Linked DNA regions of Mus musculus. Each later gene encodes a partner of the first gene's protein in a complex. Links are inferred from orthologs where the notes say so. Each region holds a gene or a part of one and is shown on either strand. Other genes may lie near its edges. The genes, in order: Banf1 and Emd.

Region 1 (4,333 bases):
TTTCACTATTTGCTGGTGGTCAGAAGGCACCATGTGCTCCCCCAGCACCTCCTGCACCACATGCTTCCTCTTGCTGGCCTGAGACATGCTGGTTTCTGTCCAGGGTTGTTAGGGTGCACAGACTGTCAGTTCTTCTTCCAGAATTATTTGGATGCCAGCCTTAGAAGCCAGGACTGCTTTCAAGAGAAGCAGCCTTATACGAAAAAGTGCCACCTCGCCCTGTTAAAAACATGCACTTTAGGGGACAGCAGGACTTGCTGCTCTGGCAGAGAACCAGGTATGGTTTCCAGCCACAGGGGATTCAACGCCCTCTTTTGAGACACACATGCAGGTAAAAACACTAATACACATAAAACATGAATGAAATCATTGAAAGACAAATCACAGACTTAGCCAGGTGCTGGTGTATATCTTTATTCTTAGCACTTGGGAGGGAGAGGTAGGCAGAAATTTGTTGAGTCCTGGGCCAACCTAGTCTACATAGGGAGACCGTAAACCAAAAACAAACAAGCAGGACCTTCAAGGGCCAGGGAGATGTCCTATGAGCCAGCACCCACATCAGATGGTTCACAACCACCTTTAACTCCAATTCAAGGGCATCCACCGCCCTCTTCTGGCTTCCGAGGGCACTCACAACACCACCCATGGGGGACATCTTTAAAAAAAAAACAAACCAAACCAGGAAACACAGGTTTTATAGTGTCAGCTGAGACGTCAGGGTGGCTCAAGCCTTCGATCTCAACACTAATCCCAACCCACGGAGCACGGGGCCGGCCCTCTCAATAACAAAGAAAAACTAAGTAAATCGGCGAGATCACGGAAACTACCCAGCACAGGGCAAGCCCTGAGTCCTACGTCTCAGTCCTGTTAGGACGGCGACGCCTCCCCCTCCCAGGCCGATCGGTCATCCCGCCAAGCTCTCTGAGCGAAATCTAAGGTGAGCTGCGTTCCGCCACAGGCTTCAACACCCAAGGCAGGAGAGCCACACAACGACGGCCTCCCGACACATCCCAGGCACGGAGCGACCGACGCGGCGCCCAGCACGAGAGCTGCCCACGGAACTCACCCGCTCGGCGCCACACCAGCACGCTCCGCTTTCCAGGTTGACGGCGACAGTAGCTCGTCCACGACGCGCCTCGACAGCGAGGGACCAAAGAGCAAACAACTGTGACCTGCAGGTGGCCCCGACGGTAACGCCGGTCTGGACGCTCGGCCCCAATCCTCCGTTGTTCCTCCCTCCCGTCTGCCGGTCTGAGGTGACAGACCTGAGGAAACCGCGCCGGGAATTGCGATTCCGGGGCGCTCAGAGGTCCTCCGGATTTCCCGCCCCCTCTTCGTCCGTCCCTTTAACTCTTCCCTCCATCAAGTGAGGCAAGCCTAAGTTCCGAGTGCGGGGCAGGAAAACGCATTCTCCTCGGAGGTCTCGATCCCACAGACCGGAAGGGCCGCTGGAGAAACAAAAGCCATCGAAAGCCGGATGGCTTCTTGAGAGGAACCGGAAAACAGCGACCCCCGTGGGCGCCGCGGCTGGCGATTGCGCGTCAACTCTATGGCTCCGGGTAGCTAGACCTGCCCAGTTTGGGGATTAGTTTTGAAGGTCGCGCATAAAACGACCCGGAAGCGGAAGTCGAGGAACCGTCTCGTAGCTTGAGGTCTGGGCGGGAGCGGCCGAGTGGCGCGAGGAGCCGTTACCAGAGCCGGAGCCTCCGGTGAGCGTGAGAAGCGGAGTGGTGCTCCGGCTGGCGTGCGGTGGCGGCGCGCAGAGGCGGGAGGGAGGGGAATCCATCGCGGAGGCGCGCCTTTGCAGCGGGGCAGCCCGAGTCTGCGGGAGGGGCGATGCGCGGTGTGTCCGGGTGGCGGCGCGTGGAGGGGGCGGGGCGCTCGGAGCGGGGCGGGGCCTCAGGGCGGGGCCTGCGGGACCTGAGAGGCGTGGAAGAGGCCGGCAGCCCGAGTGAGGGCGGCGAGGCTGGCGAGAGCCGCGTGCTGTTCCTACCACGTGTTAGTTCCCAACGGGGTCAGTGTCTGTGTAGCCAGGGTCGCGGGCTGTGAGGGCTTCAGGGCGGACCTTGACTACTGAGTCTGGGAGTCGCTCTGTTGCCTTAGGTGCGCCACCAGCTAGTGCAAGCTGATATATCCAATATACCCAAAACCAGGACCCACGGAAAGTGGAAATTTCCGAATAGCCGGGGATGGGTTGGGGGGACTCAAGGGAGCAGCCACAGTAGCTGTGGTAGGATATTGCCCTTGGGACTTGTGGTCTTCAGCCCTAACCTACTTTTCTTTTTTTTTTTTTTTTTTTTTTGGCGGGGGGGATTCCCAGGTTAAGCCTGATCACGATGACAACCTCCCAAAAGCACCGAGACTTCGTGGCAGAGCCCATGGGGGAAAAGCCAGTGGGGAGCCTGGCCGGGATTGGTGACGTCCTGAGCAAGAGGCTGGAGGAAAGGGGCTTTGACAAGGTGTGGGGGGGCTGCAAATGCCAGGGAGGGGTAGGAGCGAAGGTTGGCAACAGGTGGTACCACGCAGATTGGGAGTGAGGCCCACACATGTTTGGGGGGTACCTGGGGAGGCATGGTGCCTCCTTCATTTTTGTGTTTTGTTGAGACAGGGCTTCTCAGTGCTAGGATTAAAGGTGTGGCTCACTGTCCCCTGCCCTTTTGTGTGTTTTAAATATCACGAAAATGAAACTAGGCATAGTGGATTGTGCTTATGACCCTAACACTTGGGAAGTTGAGCTAAGAGGATTCCCGTGGGATTTAATGCCAGCCCTGACAACAAAGGAACAAACCCTGTCTTTCTTTTTTTTTTTTTTTCGAGACAGGGTTTCTCTGTGTAGCCCTGGCTGTCCTGGAACTCACTCTGTAGACCAGGCTGGCCTCGAACTCAGAAATCCGCCTGTCTCTGCCTCCCAAGTGCTGGGATTAAAGTCGTGCGCCACCACTGCCTGGCAACAAACCCTGTCTTAATCAAAATAAAAATGGCCTTGCCCTCTGAAGTATTTACCACCTAACCCTCCCTAGCTTCAGAGATCTGGCCTCTTCGGAGTGGTATCAGCGTGGACAGTCCTGTTGCTTTAGCCCATGAGACACTTAGCCACATGCCCTTTTCTATTCTGCAGGCTTATGTGGTCCTTGGCCAGTTTCTGGTGCTAAAGAAAGATGAAGACCTCTTCCGAGAATGGCTGAAGGATACATGTGGTGCCAATGCCAAGCAGTCCCGGGACTGCTTTGGGTGCCTTCGAGAATGGTGTGATGCCTTCTTGTAGTGTTCTCTGGGGATCCCTCATACCCCAGCCACAGCACAGTTTCCAGAGTCTGCAGCAGGGCAGGGCTCCTCCCTGTCCTCCATAAAGGAAAAGATGGCTGTTGTCACCCTCACCTCCTATGTACTCCAGGGTCTATGGGGAGTTCTCTCCCCTCAGCGTTTCAATCTTTCTGGGATCGTTTCCCTTGCATGCCTTTCCCTTCCACCTCCCCCTGCAGTTCCGTGGCAGCAGTTACCAACTTTCCTGAATGGATTCCTGGCCCCCTTCTCCCTCACTATCTGTTGGATGCCCTTTGGCTCCTTTCCTTTTTTTGGCAAAAACAGTCACTGTCCTTATAAAAGATTTTTAAATTAATAAAATCAGTGGCCTTCATACTTGGTGTTCTGTGTCAGAGAGCAGATAGGCTGGGGAGTTGTGTATTCCCAGGGCTGAACACGTCTACTTCATTCGTTATCAGTGCAGACCGAAACTGGTGCCTTCTATTTCCCCTCCCAAGAGGGAGCCACCCTAGCCATGTGGGCTCTGGGCAGGTGCCCTGGGTGTCCCAATTCCTAAACATTGTGGGAGAGAGTGTGGGTTGGCTTTTTTCTCCTGGGAGCCAGGTAGGCTGAAGGCTTCCAGATGTCAGCAGTCAGTCTAGGCAGCACCTGGTGGAAAGTCAGTGGGAGTCAAAGGTACCAGGAAGCGGGTGGATGGGATGTGGGTAAGAGGTCACCTGCCAGTCATCATAGCATGTGCTCTTAGCGTCTGGCAAGAATGAATGGGTGGGACTTTTGCTGTTTGCCAAGCTACCATAGAAAAGGAAGGAAATGGTTAAACTTGAAAGCCAAATCCTACTTCTATTGTTTTCAAGCTCATATTGTGAGCCAACCCTGAAACTAGTATCTTTGTAAGCACTTATTACATTTTTTATTTTGGAATGGTAAGAGATTTGGAGCTTAGAAAGCTAATTTGCCCTTGAACTTTCAAGAAACTAGCCACTGGAGCTCAAAGTGTGTGGGAGCCTGTGTTCCTGTGTCATGTAACCCATGCTATGCTTTTTGAGCTTCATACGGTGAGGGTTGTGGG
Region 2 (4,391 bases), on another chromosome or scaffold:
AACCTGTGGGTTACAACCCCTCTGGCAAACCTTGTCTCCAAAAATATTTACATTATGACTCATAAAGTAGCAAAAATTACCATTATAAAGTAGCAACAAAAATATTTTGTGATTGGGAATCACCACAACAGCATTAGGAAGGTTGAGAAGCACTGATTTAAGAGATCAGGCATCCTACACACTTTTTCTACGCGTACCCCTTCTTCTAGATCTCTCCAATAAAGGGCAGCCTACCTAGATCCACATGACTTTGTGTAGAATATAATGGTCATGGTCACTCTTCAAGGCAACCTTTCTCTGATCCAGATCCTTAGTAAGCCTCCATCAATTCCCATGGTTTGCCTCTAGGCCAGCAGTTCAGAACCTCTGGGGTCGCTATCCCTTTGGATCTCACATATCAGATATCCTGCATAACAAATATTTATATTTTAATTTATAGCAATATTGAAATTACATTTATGAAGTACAACACAATAATTTTATGGGTGGGGAGTCACCACAACATGAGGAACTGTATTAAAGGATTGCAGCATTAAGGAGGTTGAGAAATAGTGCTCTAGGCTTTGTACACTTGTCTAGGTCTCTAAGGTCACACCAAGCTTAGAGACTATTCTACTCAGCCAGAGAAGACCTCTCCCCCCAGAATTCCTCAGGGCCCAAGGTAGAACAGTGAGTATGGCAGGTACAAGGTGTACAGATCTACATGCATCACAGGGCAGGCAGGCAGGCAGGCAGGCAGGCGCCCTCTGATTGTGTGCATTGGCATACCCTGGACCTTTGGAAAGCTGCTTGATCCTGTAGTGCTGGTGGCCACTTGGCCCAGTGCTGGCCCCATTTCCTCGCGAATGGAACTAGGCATTAGAGAAGACGACGGTGGGAATGGGCCTGTGCAGGTGTGCAGGCCAGGGTCATGGAGACTGGGAAGACCAAAGGAGATGGGTAGGGAGTGCCAGGGCTCTGTGGGTGTCTATGTTAGGTGATGAGAGCCCTGTCTGACAGCATACAAAGAGCTCTCAGCAGCGTTAGGCGCTCTGGAAGGGTTCGCTCTCAGGATTGCTTTACACTGCTGTGGATCACACTGTGGCTGAGAATCCTAGGCACTGGAACACCGGGGGAATAAAATCAGGAATGAAGCCAGTAACAAAAGTATGTGAGATCTCACAGGTTGGGAAATCTCACAAGCCGGTTTTGGTCAAATCACTTGCCTCATCCCTAGTAAGTTGCGCTCTAAAGCATCCTCTAGTGAGGTCAGCCAGCTCCGCCCCTCGGCGGCCTAGCTCTCAAAGGAAGTCTCAACCGCTGCCGCACGAGTTCTGAAAGCTCCGCCTTCTCCCTGTTCGAGCCAATCTCTCACAAGCGTTACGTTTCTGTTTGCCAGCCCAGCCTGTTCCCTCAGCTAGACCGGTCTGCACCGGCCGTTCTGGCTAGTTTGGGCCTGCCCTGAGGAGCGCGCGCAACCTGCGTAGCCGCGGCTGTGACGCAAATGTGACGGCGGCGTGACGCGCCCACAGCCGCTCTTGAGGCTCTGGCGCTTCTTCTTCTAGGCTCCGAGCGGTTGGTTTCTTGGGCCCTGTCTGTAGGCCCCGGCCGCCCCTGGCGTTCAACACCGCTTCCAGGTGCCGGCCTTGTCTGCCATGGACGACTATGCGGTTTTGTCCGATACTGAGCTGGCCGCAGTGCTACGCCAGTACAACATCCCTCATGGGCCTATTGTGGGTATGCTGCACCCGGTGGCGCTCAGAACCTCTCTTGGTCCACTGCTTTCCCGCGCTCCTCCCTGAGCGTTCTCCCCACCTCTCCCTCCCCTCAAGTCCCCTCCCCGTGTTCCCTTGTGCTCTTGGGGTGCTCGGCTCACGCCCTCTGACCGCTTCGCACCCTGTGTCTGGGCAGGTTCCACTCGCAAGCTCTACGAAAAGAAAATCTTCGAGTACGAGACCCAGAGAAGGAGACTCTTACCCCCCAACTCGTCATCTTCTTCATTCTCCTATCAGTTCTCAGGTGAGCCCTTAACTGCAGAGCCCCAAAGAGCAGCTTGGGGCACACGTCTTAGGGAGGGAGGGTGTGGCCGAAGCTATTGAGGGAGTAGGGGGAAGGCTGGAGATCGAATGGTCCTGTCCCTCCTCCTTCACATGCAGACTTGGATTCAGCCGCCGTGGACTCAGACATGTATGATCTGCCCAAAAAAGAAGACGCCTTACTTTACCAGAGCAAGGGTAAGGCAGGTATAGGGTGGGCACTGATGTTTTTATCCCATGCTTCCGGGATTTGGGCACAGGGAAACCCCAGACCTCCCTCACCTCCTTGTACCAGTTCTCAGTGGCTTCAGAGGGGAGAAACTGACACAGCACACACAGGCTGGGGAGGGAGAAGAGGAGGCCAGTTAAGGGGCACCACTTTTTCCTCTACCACTGTTTTCCTCCCCAAGACTATAATGATGACTACTATGAGGAGAGTTATTTGACCACCAAGACATACGGGGAGCCTGAGTCTGTGGGCATGTCCAAGAGCTTCCGCCAGCCGGGGACCTCACTTGTAGATGCTGATACCTTCCATCACCAGGTGAGTTGGCTGGTAGGTATACCTGGGGTGCAGCCTTAGGGAATTCTAGGTTTGGATAGGTGCAGAGAGTGGATCTTAGGCTTTCAAATCTGGTTAGGGTCAGCATACAGCTGTCGGGTTAAAAATTCTATGTTGGAACCTTCAAAACTATTGGATTTGGGGATGCTCAGCAGAAGAGTATTTACCTATGGTTTCATCTCCAGCAGCACATAACAAATGTTTTGGGGTTTTGGCTTTTTTAAAAGATTTAATTACTTTAATTATACATATGTGTGGCCAATTTTTGTTAGTTTGTGGGTATTTCCCCCCCCCCACTTCACCCCCAGTAATGAAAAATTCCCAGAATTCCAAATATCACACAATTGTAGAAACTATCTGAAACTCACAGAAACACACCTTTGCTAAAAGCATGAGGCAACTCATAGTTAGCTGCTGTGAAGCAGCCCCATATTCCACACCTAAGATTAAAACAAAAACATATTCTTACAATATTTCTGTGTTTCTTAAAAAAGCCAAAATTCCAGAATTCTCACATACATGTCTGTGGGTAGTATGCATGAGTGCTGGCACCTACAGAGGTGAGAATTGTCATATTCCCACTAGAGCTAGAGCTACAGGTAGTTGTAAACTGCCTGATGTGTGTGCTGGAAATTGACCTCAGGTACCTAGGAAGAATAATATGTGCTCTTAACCAGTGAACCACCTCTTCAGCCCACAAACTTTTTTGATCAGAGAATATGTAACAGCTCCTGCACTCTAGTAATTAATCTACGATATAGATTTAAGCCTCCTGAGAATCCAGGGGAATAAAAGGATGCTGGAACAAAGTCAACAGGGTTAGTAACTGAGCAGCAAGGCCCCACAGATAAAGAGGCTCCACATACTCAGAATGGGGGAGGGGGGGGCAATTTTCTGGTCCCTATGATATGATTAGAGCAGGCTAGCCAGAGACATTTAAGGAAAACCATTCTTCCCCATTTCTAATCCTAATTATTCTGCAGGTGCGTGATGACATTTTCTCTTCTTTAGAAGAGGAAGGCAAGGATAGGTGAGTAGTGAACATATGTAGGGACAGGGACAAATTCGAGTCTCAGACTCTCCTGCCTACCTGTTGCCTTCTTTTGCCACAGGGAGCGCCTCATCTATGGCCAAGACAGTGCCTACCAGAGCATCGCACACTACCGCCCCATTTCCAATGTCTCCAGGAGCTCTCTGGGCTTATCATATTATCCTACATCCTCCACCTCTTCTGTGTCCTCCTCTTCATCTTCTCCCTCTTCATGGCTTACCCGACGTGCCATTCGGCCAGAGAAGCAGGCCCCTGCTGCTGCTCTGGGCCAGGATCGACAGGTCCCACTCTGGGGCCAGCTGTTACTCTTCCTGGTCTTTGCTGCCTTTCTGCTCTTTGTTTACTATTCCATACAAGCTGAAGAAGGCAACCCCTTCTGGATGGATCCCTAAGGGTATTGGTTTTAGAGCAGCTCTTACCAGGAGTTTTGGCTGATTGCCTTATCGGTGTTTGCTGGGGGTGGGGAGGGTAGGGGCTTTTTTGTGTGTTCTAGTTGGGTGCAAGGTCTAGCCTAAGGCAATGCTTGTCTCCCACCTCATCCTGCCAAGGAAGCAGCAAATGTTGGCCTTCTACAGCCCAGTAGGCCTACCTGTACCTTCCTCTGGAGCCTCCTAGCCCTATTGCCTCTGACCCTTAGGGTACCGGGGTCTGGTGGGAGGACCTCACTTCATTAGAGGAAAACTTGGTGGTGGCAGTGGTAGTTGTCATGCATGCCTGTTTGTTGTCACCTTTTCAGGGGGTATTAACAAAGACCACCCTGGCT

What was found.
Region 2: the proteins of Banf1 (region 1) and Emd are in contact, whole or in part, in a crystal structure (PDB 7NDY), measured with the Homo sapiens proteins. The link is inferred for Mus musculus from reciprocal best matches to the Homo sapiens genes BANF1 and EMD. Residues at the interface, in NP_001137457.1 of Homo sapiens: Arg37, Phe39, Gln48, Val51, Leu52, Lys53, Asp55, Leu58, Glu61, Trp62, Asp65; in NP_000108.1 of Homo sapiens: Pro22, His23, Gly24, Pro25, Val27, Ser29, Thr30, Arg32, Leu33, Tyr34, Lys36, Lys37, Glu40.

The regions. Positions count from the first base shown.
Region 1 is NC_000085.6:5,363,944-5,368,276, reverse strand, and holds Banf1 (barrier-to-autointegration factor), read left to right. Parts: upstream 1-1,400; 5' UTR 1,401-1,709; exon of another isoform or gene 1,710-1,843; intron 1,844-1,913; exon of another isoform or gene 1,914-2,014; intron 2,015-2,320; 5' UTR 2,321-2,336; coding exon 2,337-2,459; intron 2,460-3,118; coding exon 3,119-3,265; 3' UTR 3,266-3,644; downstream 3,645-4,333. Other genes in the region: probable RNA-binding protein EIF1AD, read right to left, coding at 1-87. UniProt on the Homo sapiens protein: Non-specific DNA-binding protein that plays key roles in mitotic nuclear reassembly, chromatin organization, DNA damage response, gene expression and intrinsic immunity against foreign DNA.
Region 2 is NC_000086.7:74,253,318-74,257,708, forward strand, and holds the start of Emd (emerin), read left to right. Parts: upstream 1-1,369; 5' UTR 1,370-1,634; coding exon 1,635-1,716; intron 1,717-1,890; coding exon 1,891-1,998; intron 1,999-2,135; coding exon 2,136-2,213; intron 2,214-2,425; coding exon 2,426-2,559; intron 2,560-3,560; coding exon 3,561-3,607; intron 3,608-3,689; coding exon 3,690-4,020; 3' UTR 4,021-4,391. UniProt on the Homo sapiens protein: Stabilizes and promotes the formation of a nuclear actin cortical network. Stimulates actin polymerization in vitro by binding and stabilizing the pointed end of growing filaments. Inhibits beta-catenin activity by preventing its accumulation in the nucleus.